Drosophila melanogaster: one gene and its partner. The protein of the gene in region 1 interacts with the protein of each later gene in a pairwise test. Each region holds a gene or a part of one and is shown in the gene's direction. Other genes may lie near its edges.

Region 1 (6,996 bases):
CATGAAGATGTGTACGCAGGTGAAGTCGCCCATTTCGGGAGCATCGCAGAGGCACCTGATGAACTCCTGGACGTACTCCATGGACTTCTCGTACGTCTTGCCGCCCACCTCCTGTAGGTGGAGGGCCAGGAAACGGGGCTGTGCGACGGCGATCTTTGCAAGAAATTCGCTTAGCCATAGCTGCAGAAGCCTCTCCGGCTGCAAATTGGATTGGAAATTCGATTATCGGCGGGCGCTGAATGTGCTGAATACCAATTTGTTTGGGAACTCGGATTCGGATATACATATCTATGTATGTCACTGGGCCCATACATAAATATGCGATTTACGCATCGTGTATGTATGGGCCGTACGTAAACATGTATACTTCCTAGCCCTGTGGACATGGCGCATCCGTTCCAACGGCCACTTACGTCCTCAAATAGGCTGCCAACGTTTGCCGTGACCAGAAACACATCCGTGCTGGACGCGTCTTCCTGTGCTGACTCCATTTGATCCCACTTTCGCCTGCGATGCAACAATTTTATTCACTTTTTATCAGCGTTCCAATTGTAAATACTAATTGAGTCAAGGCGCAGTGTGACCATACCGCCTGGCGAAAACTAGGCCATTTCGATTATTAGCTTTTAAGTGACCGTAATCGTTTATATTTCAAATATATTTATGCATATCTCTGCAGTTTTTTAATTAAACTTATTTATTTCGTTTACATTGAATAATACAATACCCCTCACGAATTTAAATAGTTAAGCTTCATTTCTTTCATATTTTGTTAACTTTAGGTTTCAGAATCGTAATTAGGTCACTTCCGGCAGTGACCGAGATAAAAGTAACGGTAATATCATGAGTACAATGGCCAGTTAAAAGTAGATATAAACAATTAAATGGCACAGGGAATAGAAATTAATGGGTTTGGACAAAGCAATAACATTGAAACTTGCAGGTTTCTAATGTTTTACAGTTCTTTGATCCTTAATATTATTATTTATCCTATTATCTTGACTAAGTTTTTGAATTTCAGTGTAACTGCAATTAAATGCGTATAAATGCAGCTCGAAATTAACAATTCATGCGGTGTGGTGGCACATTAAGCAATTTGGTGATCCGTTGTCTATATTATAAGCATATCCGCCGACATAAAACTATTAAGGCCCATTAAGACCTACGGTGTACATCATCTTTTCATTCAAACAGCTTACAGTAGTTACTGCGTACTGCGTATGACGGTTTCAATCTTTGACAGAATTCCTAAGTATCTTCAAAAGTATTACAACCGCAACACTTGTCCGAAATGTCTTCAATTTGTGTCACTTATGCAAATCCGTAATTCCCACAAAACGGGTTTAACAATTTGTCAAAAATTCGATGTCAAATGCCCAAATGAAACACAAACTGGCAAACACTATATAATATAGGCGGTTTGCTATTTCCAGGCTTTTTGAAAGTTGGGTAGTGAAAGTTGTATTGAACTCTGTGCGTCTCTTTCGAAATCTCCAACACAATCCAAGCGATTGCACGTAGCATGAATACTGAACAGCACGTGAGACGGTAGCCACATTTCTTGCAAGAATACACAAGTGAATTCAATTCCTCCACTCCGGCTCCACGCTGCACATATATGCCCTATAAGTGGGGGCCAAGCCTTACGGGGGAAATGCGATGGCAGTTATAAATACTTGCACACACGTCCGTCCACCTGATATTTTCTTTGCCACAATGTTTTCGGCCCCAAATTTATAAAGAGACGGACGGCAGGCAAACCGTTTATTGTACTTTTAGGAACCGCTTAACTCATATCTCAACGCGATCGCAAAATGCGTACCGAATACCTGGTCGTTCTGATTATATGCACTTCCTGCATTTGCATTAGTGCTGGAGATAGCTATTCCGGGGATATTCAAAGCTCGAACTCATTGGATTTCGGTGTGTGAAAGATAATAGGGATCAAAAGAGATTCTAAAGTGCTGAAAAACCTTATAGTAAAGCAAACTGAAAGTGAAATTAATAATATACACTTACAAATATATGTGTTTCTGTACTATCAATTGGCACTGAGTGCTTAAAACGATAATTCAGTGTACAAACAACTATTCAAATCTTTATGACAGAAGTCATTGGATTAACTTCTTGGATTATCCTTGAATGCTAAACTTATAAGATTCTTTCGCATTTATTAGGCAACGATAGTGGGGGCTACAGCTACAGCTCCCCGCCGAGCAACAGCTACTTGCCTCCAGCCACACCTGCTCCGGAGTACCTGCCTCCGCCGAACAATGGATACCAGTACAATCCGCCGCCGAACAACAACTACCTGCCACCGCCTAACAACAACTATCTGCCTCCTCCTCCTGAATATGGACCGCCAGCTGGCTATCCTTCCTATGGACCACCACCTCCTCCGTTTTACAAGCCAGCTCCGTTCATTCCCTACCATTCGCACGACTCCATTCTGGAAAAGCTTAAGTCCAAGATCAATCTGTATACGCTTGGAAAGATTTTGCTCAAGCTGTTGATATTCAAGAAAATCGTCAAGTTCATCGGCCTGATTTTCTTGCTCTTGGTTCTGCCGAAGCTGAAAAACATTTTCAAGGATGATATGATGTCTGGATCTGGTGAGAGCGATGGCATGGAAAGCAAACTTGTAGAGACAGATAAGGGTAAGGTGTTTCTATATAGTGCTTTAAGCATTAATTATTAATATTTATATTTCTCCCTTTTACAGATAAACTAGCCCAACAAATTGAGAACCTATACGATTTTGTAATAAACTCGATAGAAAGTTTTGAAGGAAGAAGTTCGTAGATCAATACCAAAATTAGTTATAAATGCATTGTTACAAATTGTATTACACTTGATTATTTATTTGTTAAAGTCTTATAAATAAAAGTATTTCGTATTTTACTCTTGTGTTTGAACTTGGGGCATATCATTGATTCAGACTGGTTCTTAAATCAATCCAACATCCTGATGGCTTGATACGCTTAATTAGGTTCTTGAACAGTACTCATTAAGTAGTCGGCCTATCTACCAGAATATTAGCCAAGGTACACATTTGTACCTGCAAACGTACCTAGGTACGAAAGCTGTCACCTTGCGCATCACTGGCGACGATACATTTCGCCGACTATCGATAGACGGGCTCACTCTGCGTCCGCATCCAAGTTGCGATCGGATTCATTCGCATTCGCCAGTGATCAACTCCGCTGCTGCAGATCCACAGCCAAAAAATGCTGCACATAGTATCGGTTGTTATTATAGCCCTGAGTCTGGGCTGTGCCGTTGGCCAGGATTTGCGGCGTGTGGACGACACCGAGTTGATTCAACTCCTGACCGGCAGCAGCAATGTGGTTGTCCTATTCAGTGAGTATTGGTAGGAAAGTCAGCCAGAGAAATCCAGCCTACGTGTCCACTGTGCATATGGAGGATGGTACACCGGTTACTGGCTAACGAGCACACTTAATTGCAGACAAAAACAATTGCCAGCGCTGCGTGGAATATGAGAACATGGTGACCAAGATACGTGCCCAGCTGGAGGAGACCTTGTCGGCCATTGTGGTCCAGTCGGTGGACAGCAACCTGGTATCCATCTATGACCCCAGCAAGGAGCCCGCTTTGGTGTTCTTCAGGCGAGGAATACCCATTCTATACCATGGCGAGATCAACGATGACGAAATCCTAGACTTCTTCAATGACAACTTAGAGCCAGCGGTCAAAGAGCTTTCCGACGACAACTTCGAGCACCTGACTCAAGCCTCGTCGGGTGCCACTACCGGGGACTGGTTTATCTTCTTGTAAGCTATATTAGTCATGCGTTGAGGTCGCCATCTAAGCGTCATGAGATGTACATATATGTGCACATATGCTCACCTACACCCACTTCCAGCTCTTCGGCCGAATGTACCGTCTGTCAGCGACTCTATGCCGTTTGGGAGTCTGTGGGCGGAAAGCTAAAGCGAAAGCTGAATATTGCCCGCATGAACAGTTTGGAGTCTGGAATCTCAACTGCTACGCGACTGGGAGTATTGGAAGCACCGGCTTTTATTTTGTAAGCCCTGATCGCTTTGGTTGTGTCCAAGAATAGATTATATAAATTATAATCATTACAGCTTGAGGCAAGGAAAGATGTACAAATATTCAGCCAAGCAATACAGTCCCGAAGCCTTTGTCCAGTTTGCTGAGAAGGGATATACCCAGAGCCATCCTCAACCAGTGCCCGCAATCCCAAGTGCCGTGTAAGTATTCCTCTCATAGCTAAAATGATTTTAAATTCATCCATCGATCGAATTTTAAACTCAAAGTCCGATTATGACCTTTTTATAGGGATTTGTGAGAAACTGATACATGTGTTTAGTAAGTGAGCCAAGATAAAACTTGTAAACCTATTAATAATTACTATTAGTTAACAAATACTGATTCTTTGTCCCCGGTACAAGGTTGCATATAACGCCAGTTTGAGGGTATTCAACATAGACACTGATTCCACCATCGAGCATAAAACAATTGTTAATATCACTCCGTTGATTAATATCGAACCAAATGTTAATCGTAACCGTTGTATATTATCCAGTTTGTACATAAACAATATTACATTAATCAATTATACCCTGGTTAAAACAGTTCCTGGTTTGAGAAGATCGAATTTAATACTACACAACGTTTATCCTAATAACCAATGATCAAATGAGCTAATGTTTTAACTTTCGTGCTTTTCAGAAACGAATTTTTGGGCCCACTGCAAAGTTATTTTGCAGCTGAAAACATAACATCGCTGGCGACTTTGAGTATTTTCGCCTTAGTTGCTCTCTTATTCGTTGGCAAAAAGGTTGCCAAAATATTCAGTTCAGAGCCTGCGAAAACAAAAAATAAGTCGAAATAAAACTAATATAAAGACTAAATGAAACACGACGTTTTTGAATTAGTCGAGTGACAACAATTAGCGGAAAAGTGGGCGCGAAAATTCAACTGCTGCAATTCCTAACGCCACAAAAACTGGCAGCTCTTTTGGCTGGAACGGTGGAAGCGGAACATGCAAATATGGATACCTAATATCGCAAAAGATCCATTGTTCACTGGCGCACAACGCTGACAATACCTATATCCTATCTCTTGATTGCTTTCAATTAATTAGCGGGCAAGCAAACAAAAATATTTAGATCGGCCCATTTAGCAACTGGGCTCGGAGTTCAGGGGCTAACTCGGCTAGCAATCTAGCCAATTGCTTAAGTGCGATGATAGTTTGGCGTGGAACGCTCAAATTAAAGCAGCGTTTCGTTTCGTAAAGCGTGAGATTCGCGATCGTGTTGTTAGGCAGTTTTTTTTTATTTGTTTCGCAGCGGTCATCGTTGGCGTAAGCGTATTCCTCGGAACCTGGATTTTTTGTATCTTGGGGTAAATCACTCAAAACACGCTATTTATACACCCGCTGATACCCAAATACACGCAAATGTACCCGAATTGGTGTTGGTTAAAACACAGTGCTCGCTAAATGTCAGCTGACGTCAGAAGGTCTTGAAAAAAGAGCGAGGAGTACACACGAACACAAAAACGATTACGAATACGAGTGGGACGTATATATGTGTAGTGCGGTATATCGATATCGGTAGATCGAGAGAGAACACTACACTCACACGACACTCACATTCGCATTCGCAGCGACTTTCGATTGAGATTTTGGTTGGCTGTGGCTGTAGTCAAGCGAGCGCACATGAGTCAGATTCGTAGCTTTTGTTTTGTTCAGTCGAGTGCGAGTTCTGTGCGATTCAGATACTCGCTGCCATCCGAACCGAACTGAAGTCCAAGTCGAATCTAATGTGCGTACTTACGTGTAGAACAGTTCAAGAAAATGTGCAGACATTCAACGGTCGCATTTGTGTGGATGTGTGGTTGTAGTGAAGAGTGCCAGCATTAATCGCATTTTTCCCCTGCACGAGCACCACGACTAGAAAATACTCGACACGTCTGTCTGTTTTTCTGCTTTATTGCTTCTACGCTATTCTGCTTTTCCGTTTCGGTTTTCCTCCGCTTGGCCTAGTGAAAAACAACAAATTTGATTATATTGTGTAAGTTATGTCTAGCATTGAAAAGATGAAAAGTGTCATTCCTATAAATACACCACCACCTCGGGAAAGGCACTCGCAATAGAGAAACTGGCCAAAACCCAACAACAAACATAACAAACAAAGGAACCGCTGAATATAACCAAACTTCGGAGTAGGGGCTGAGCTAAAAAGTATAGTGCGCAGCCATCATGACTAACTCACCACCCAAAACGCCAGCCCAATTACAGAAAATCGATATTCTAGTCGCGCTGTAACGCTGCGTAGCTGCTAAATACACAGCTCCCTACCTGCAAACAACCCGAATACAAAAAAAAAAAAAAGAAAACTACGAATAACAAAACAGTCAGGCGAGGCATTAGTATACCGAAAAGCGAAAACCACTTCCGCCAATGGTCGAAATCGCCGTCGCCATCTCGACATTTAGCTAGCCATATAGCAAATGTCTTTACATATCATACCGATATAATAGAAACCATCTGTGATACGCGTGTACCTTAAAAATGAACTAACTTTGCACCGATCGAGGGTATCACTGGGAAATTAACGATGCGTCTTGTCCGCAGTAAATGTTGTCAACGTGATGTTTCTGTAACCGACTATCTGAACACCCCGCATCCGCACCAGCACCATCCATCGTCCACCGACGTCCAGCACACCAAAAACATATTTACACGCTACTGGGACGACCACATAAGAATGAAGGAATCGAGCGAGGGCAAAACCAGGGCCAAGGCCCCATCCGCTGCCGCATCCGCATCCACCACACCATCGTCATCTTCAGCACCTGCCAAACAAACCCAGAGCGTTACGTTCGTGAGGACCAGTAATGCACCAGCTGTTTGCGACGCCAACGGGAACGGGAATGGGTGCTCCATCCAAACGGAGTGGACATTCCCCCCAAAGGCGCCCACACCGCACATCTACAATTGCCTGAGTC
Region 2 (6,996 bases), about 13 Mb from region 1:
GGTTTCTACAGCCGAGCTTGCACTTTTATAAATTGTGAAATCCACTTGTCGTCTTTTTTGCACTGTGCGATGAACTCGTTACTGCGCGGGCATAGTAAAATGAAAGTCACAGATGTGGCAAATTGATAAATTAGCTGCATTACAAACATATGTATGTATGTATGTATGCGACTGTGTATCTATGGTTCAGTGAGAAATTTCTAAAATCTACGCACACAATGAGTTCGCATTCAGTAGACTCCTCTCATCGCTGCCATAATTGAATTGATGGACTGGCAAAGCTGTTAAGCCAACACACATACGCATTTATATAAAAGTCAGTTTGTATAATATAACTATGCTTTCTATGTGCCGGACTCATTGTGCAAATCCATTGGGCAAACAATCGGTTAGCGAGTGCCGATCAACCGACTAAGTTGGATTGGATTCGGAGTTGTGGATATATAGGAATTTAGGGTTGAATCAAAATTATATACATATATGTATAGTGGTATATAGTGCTATATAGTGCATTGACATTTCGATTTGCATGTCTGTTATATGACCAATTCATTAGCAGGTTTGGCTATAATTTGTAGAGAACGTAAAGGGAGAATGATCATCATAGATTAAATATAGCAACAAGTTATTAGTAATTGCTCATTGAAGATAACTTATAAAACTAATGATTTGAATATATGCCTGAAATACACTATTTTTAAAGCTTATGTATTTGAGTCTCGAAAAACGATTGCCTTGAATTATATTTGTTCATTTCGCCAAACTATTACTACATCACATTGTTAACCAATAACCAATTTTTCGCTTTATTCAGACCCAATGTGTGCACCGAAAAGGAGGAAGACGAGACTGTGGCCAGTGAAACGGAGGCAGAAGAAACCGTGGACACCTTTGGCCAGGAACGTGATGGCGTTACCAACGTGGTGCGATCCCCACTCTTTGGCCAGTTCCAGTTCAGCGTTAACTCCTGCGCCGAGAAGCCCAACAAGCACGTCTGCACCAAGATGTAAGCAGATTACAGTAGGATTACCTAATCTCATCCAATTGATTGAACACTTTATCCCCTGCAGCGTGAATCAAAATGGCAAGAAGAAAACGCTGACGCTGACCCGCCAGTGCTGCTATGGATATGGACGCCCCAGAAACGCTGACTTCACAACGCCCTGCGAGAAGATCGACATCAAGGACGTGGAGGCCACGGCCAGTGACATGGGTGCCAAGCAGTTCCTGGAGAGTGCACGCACCGCCGGTGAGCTGGCCGATATGCTCGGAGCAGGCAGTGGCAAGAAGGTGACCCTCTTCGTGCCCAACGACGCCGCCTTCATGGAGTACCGTGGTCATCATCAGCAGGAGAATGTGAGCATGCCTTTGGTTACTAAAATTCATGTAAATAAATGAGAATTCTTTGCGTACAACAGAATGTGGAAGATGCCAAGGCCGAGGCTTCCAAGCCATCCATCTACAAACTGCACGCTGTTCTCGGCGAAGTTCAGCTGGAGGATGTGCCCAATGAGAAGCTTCTGCAGACGGAGCTGCCTGACCAGAAGATCCGCATCAACAGCTACCAGCTGCCTGCGGCTTTGGGCCTGGAACCCTACCGCTTTGCCGCCAACTGTGTGCCCATCGAGAAGCACGACAAGCTCTCGGAGCAGGCCCTTGTCCACACTCTGGGCGGAGTCCTGAAGCCGCTGACCAAGAACCTTATGGATATCATCAGGGAGCGTGCGGATATGTCCATTATGCGCACCGTTCTGGAGAAGACCAACCTGAGCGCCATGCTAGAGGATGACAAGCCAGTGACCATCTTTGTGCCCACCGATGCCGCCTTCGACAAGTTGGAACCTCATCTGCGTCGAGCCCTCAAGGAAGGTCGCGGTTGTGCCTCCAGTGAGTTGGTCTGGAAACTTATCCACAAGCAGCTAACTAACTAATATAATATGATTCCCATTTATCCGGTAGACATCCTGAAGAACCATTTGCTGGACCTCACCTTCTGCTCGCTGGCCACTGTTCCGGGTGCCAAGACGACGGCCTACAATCTACTGGGAGAACCCCTGCTCCTCAACCGAACCCACCGCGCTGCGAATCAGACTGGACCGACTCCCATCTACATCAATAACTTGGCCAAAATCATTGATGCCGATATCATGGGCACCAATGGTGTGCTGCACGTAATCGACACCATCCTGCCCACCGAATCGGCTCTGCCCATGACCTCGCTGATGTCGCAAAAGAACCTGACCATCTTCCAGCGATTGCTGGAGGCCTCCGGCTACGATGATCAGTTCGACGATCTGGACAACGTGACCATCTTTGCACCAACTGACAAGGCTCTGCAGAATACGGAATGGGCTCGCATGCTCAAGGAACAGCCGGAGCTGCTGAATCATAACTTGGATCTGCTGGAGTTCCTTAACTACCATGTGGTCAAGCCCATGATCAAGACCTGTGACCTGTCGGAGAAGTCCCTGCCCACGGTTGCTGGATCTAGTGTGCGTCTGAACCTGTACTCCACCCATGCTCTCTTCTCGGACGTGATGAACCGGGCAACGGTAAACTGTGCCCGTTTGGTGCACTTCGATGACGAGAGCTGCGGATCCGTTCTCCACCAGGTGGATCGTGCCTTGGCGCCTCCCAAGAATGTGAGTTCTACGAGGTTATCACGGAATTTAAAGCTTATGCTTATTTGTAAATATTCCACAGAACATGCTTAAGCTGCTGGAGGCTAATCCCAACTACAGCAAGTTCCTGGAGCTGGTTCGTAAGGCTAATCTTACACAGCTGCTGTCCAACGATTCGAGGAGTCTCACCCTGCTGGTGCCAAAGAACGATATCTTCGAGGAGCTGAACGAGTCCGGTGAGGGTTCAAAGCCCGCCGATCCCATGGCCTTGGTCAAAACCCATATCGTTGAGGATGTTGTCTGCTGTGCCGGCATTATCCCAACCAACTGGCCATTTGTCCGCTCCATCGAGTCCATCTCTGGCCAGCATCTGCGTATCACCCGCGATCGTCGTCCCAAGATCGAGAACGCCGGCGTCACCAAGTGCGATGTGGTGGCCACCAATGGAATTCTCCATGAGATCAACGACATCATCGTGCCACGCCCACAGCGCCAGCAACAGCAGCGACCCCAGCTGATCCCGCCCGGAGCTGGCTATCAGCCACAGGGCGATTTCGATGTCTTCTTCTGAGCGGTGCTCGTCCCCATCTCATGCATATTGATATATAAAGCAGATATTTATATTTACTCTTAACGATTTGTCAACTGATTGGAAGCCGCAAAAAGCTCAGAATCTCCTCTGATAAATAAAATAAATAGTATTAAAACAAACATGATCGGAGTTATGCTTATTGTTCACATGCAAGGTATTAAAAGGAATTACCTTAATTGGGAATTGGTTTTCTCTTTAAAAAATGTGGTTGGTATATGATATCACAATTTTTAGAATCATTCTTACAGAGAGCTACATTAATAATGCGAAATTACATAGTAATATATATAAAGAACTAAGAGCGAACCTTCTCTTCCACAGCTTATCACGAAGAGAAGCTTGCTAAGGGAGGCAAATCTATTTTGGAACTCACTCATACCTACATATGTTAAAATCACTTTATGCACTTATAAAGTGCCATTTTTCTAGGAGTTCTATTCATTCAAGCTTGTTAATTGAAGCGAAAAGGATGTCGGGATCACTGCCAGCTACTTTCGTCAAGGGTTTCCACGATGAGGAGAAGGTGCGTCGTATGGAGTACCGCCAACTCGGATCCACGGGTCTGCGAGTATCCAAAATTGCTTTGGGTGGTGCCACTCTCTCCAAGCTCTTCTCCGATGACTTCGATCGCGAGGAGGGCATCCTCACGGTGCAGGAAGCCATTAGATCCGGTATCAACTACATAGACACGGCTCCCTTTTATGGCCAAGGCAAATCGGAAGAGCTGCTTGGCCAGGCGCTCAAGGATGTGCCCCGGGAGGCCTATTATATAGCAACTAAAGTTGCACGTTACGAGTTGGATCCAAACAATATGTTCGACTATACGGCTGCCAAGGCTCGGGAGAGTGTGAAGCGTAGTCTGGAGCTGCTCCAGTTGGACAGGGTGGACGTACTACAGGTGTGTTTGGTATACCAATATATAGATTTGTCTATAAACTAACACCTTGTGACAGGTTCATGACGTGGATGCGGCACCTAGTCTGGACATGGTGCTGAATGAGACCATACCCGTCCTCGAGGAGTACGTCCAGGCGGGAAAGGCTCGATTCATCGGAGTCACCGCCTACGATGTGGACGTGCTGAAGGAGTGTGCCGAGCGGGGCAAAGGTCGCATCCAGGTGGTGCTCAACTATGCCCGCTACACCCTGTTGGACAACACTTTGCTGCGCCACATGAAGGCCTTCCAGGAGATGGGCGTGGGCGTTGTCTGTGCGGCCGCGCACTCTCTGGGACTCCTAAGCAACGCTGGACCCCAGTCCTGGCATCCTGGTAGTCCGGAACTCCTAGCTGTGGGCAAACGGGGAGCCGAAATCTGTCAGAAGAGGAACGTTGAGCTTGGAAAGCTGGCCATGTACTATACAATGCAACTGGATGGGGCGGCCACCTTCCTCATCGGTATCCCCAACCGAAAGCTGCTGCGGATTAACTTGGACGCGATCTTCGACGGTCTCACTTCCCACGAACAGGAAGTGCTGCAGTATCTGCGCGAAAAGTAAGTTGGCCAACAACTGGTTACGCCGAACTGTGCAAGTCGGATTTGGTGTTACCAATCCTGCTATTGCATCACGGGCACGAACTTGGCCTCGGCCTGGCCAAACTGGTTAATGGTAGCTCGATCCAGAGCAGACTGCTAGCGTTAAATCTCCATTCCAATCGCTACAATACATTGGTTTCCTTTTCTGTCTTCGTTTCAGCGTTTTTACCAAGTCCTACAGTTGGGGCTCCACTTTATCCACGGTTAACATGTTCAAATGAGCGACCACTTGGACGGGCAATCGAACTTGAGCTCCAAGACCAAGAAATCTTTGGTAATGCAGGGAGAACGGATTTAAAATAAACTTTAGATTATAATATTCACTGAAATAAAATATTAAATGAATATTTTTGAACCTATTTATTTTTTATAACAGTCGGCCTAAAGCAAACTTTATGCAAATTTATGATTAAGTTATTCCCAGATAAGATCAAGTTCAGTTGGGCCAACAGTTCAGGTCATTTAAGATTACAGATAATAATCAAACACAGCTTTGATTCAGCTGATTAATATTTGTTTTCTTTGCCTCAAAAGATCCAATGAGAAAGGCAAGAGAAGAAAGCCTCTCAAAAGCGACTACCGTTTATTGCAAAACAGAATACTTCTGAAGAGGCTTTTCATTTAAGACTACTTTCCCTTAAAAAAATCCACTCCCTCTCTTAATTTTAATTCGAGAAGAGATAATAAAAGATTTGTTCAAACACGTTAAAACCGCTCCGATACAGAACTATTCTCTCTTTGATAAGAGGCAATCTGTGTTGTTCAGAATATAAGTTATATTTATAATATTAAGCAGGCAGTACTTCTCTGACTGCCGATCGAATTTCAACAGACCGCGCAATATATTCGAATGAAAACAAAAAAACAGAAAGTTCTAGAAATTTTGGATGAAGTTGCGATTATGTATTCAATAATATAGGGCAAGGCCAATTTATGTGAGCTGCCTTGACTTATATTTATAAAATATTATAAAAATGTTGTGCAATTTAGAAGTTAATATATTTTCTTTTTTAGCTTTGATTTCGAAACAAAAATCTGGCACTAACTCTGAAGAGCTCCTTAGACAGGCACTGAAAAAAAGCCGCAAAAATCCCATTGTATCGCTACAACTAGTTGTTGCAACTATGGCTCGCTTTTCTCTTAAAAAATGTGGCTGATATACAATAATATGATTTTCAGAATCGTACTGTTTGAGAGCTAAGTTGATAATGCGAACAAAGAGCCGGAATTCTCTTCCACACCTTATCAATAAGAAAATCTTGCTAATCGGGGCAATTATATTACGGAACTCACTCAAACAAAGTGAAAAATTACTTATTTACCCCCACAGTTCTTATCTGAAAACCTGGTCCCCAAATCATATAAAAGCCCGATTTTTTTAGTTGTTCCTTTCATTCAAACTTGTTAGTTGAACAGAAAAGGATGTCGGGATCACTGCCAGCTACTTTCGTCAAGGGTTTCCACGATGAGGAGAAGGTGCGTCGTATGGAGTACCGCCAACTCGGATCCACGGGTCTGCACGTGTCTAAATTAGCTATAGGTGGCTCCCCCCTTTGCAATCTCTTCTTTGATGACTATGATCGCGAGGAGGGCATCCTTATGGTGCAGGAGGCCATTAGATCTGGCATTAACTATATAGACACAGCTCCATTCTATCGGAGGTGCTGCTTGGCCAGGCCCTAAAGGATGTACCCCGGGAGGCCTATTATATTGCCACTAAAGTGGCGCGCTACGGGCTGGATCCGAAGAATATGTTTGACTATTCGGCTGACAAAGCTCGGGAGAGTGTGAAGCGGAGTCTGGAGCGGCTCCAGTTGGACAGGGTGGACATACTACAGGTGGGTTTGGTAGATTCGTCTATAAGCTGGTGAACTAATATGGCCCTTATGACAGGTTCATGACGTGGACGCGGCACCCAATCTAGACATAGTGCTGAATGAGACCATACCCGTCCTCGAGGAGTACGTCCAGGCGGGAAAGGCTCGATTCATCGGAGTCACCGCCTACGATGTGGACGTGCTGAAGGAGTGTGCCGAGCGGGGCAAGGGTCGCATTCAGGTGGTGCTCAACTATGCTCGTTACACCCTTTTAGACAACACCTTGCTGCGCTACATGAAGGACTTCCAGAAAATGGGAGTGGGCGTTGTCTGTGCGGCCGCTCACTCATTGGGACTCTTGAGAAACGCTGGACCACATGCATCGCATCCCGGTAGTCAGGAAATCCTGGCCGTGGCCAAACGGGGGGCCGA

The links.
Region 2: the proteins of CG11790 (region 1) and CG3397 interact in a two-hybrid assay, tested with the Drosophila melanogaster proteins (one large-scale study listed by BioGRID).

What each region holds. Positions count from the first base shown.
Region 1 is NT_033777.3:25,044,559-25,051,554, forward strand, and holds CG11790 (uncharacterized protein), read left to right. Parts: upstream 1-3,147; 5' UTR 3,148-3,227; coding exon 3,228-3,360; exon of another isoform or gene 3,361-3,466; coding exon 3,467-3,791; intron 3,792-3,883; coding exon 3,884-4,045; intron 4,046-4,106; coding exon 4,107-4,232; intron 4,233-4,320; coding exon of another isoform or gene 4,321-4,330; exon of another isoform or gene 4,331-4,350; intron 4,351-4,713; coding exon 4,714-4,876; 3' UTR 4,877-4,897; downstream 4,898-6,996. Other genes in the region: 5PtaseI (inositol polyphosphate-5-phosphatase type I), read right to left, coding at 1-198, 414-491; CG11786 (uncharacterized protein), read left to right, coding at 1,815-1,923, 2,178-2,657, 2,723-2,802; CG11791 (uncharacterized protein), read left to right, coding at 6,606-6,996.
Region 2 is NT_033777.3:11,981,195-11,988,190, reverse strand, and holds CG3397 (uncharacterized protein), read left to right. Parts: upstream 1-3,649; 5' UTR 3,650-3,682; coding exon 3,683-4,111; intron 4,112-4,166; coding exon 4,167-4,705; intron 4,706-4,907; coding exon 4,908-4,968; 3' UTR 4,969-5,093; downstream 5,094-6,996. Other genes in the region: mfas (midline fasciclin), read left to right, coding at 815-1,006, 1,071-1,356, 1,419-1,887, 1,960-2,642, 2,704-3,192.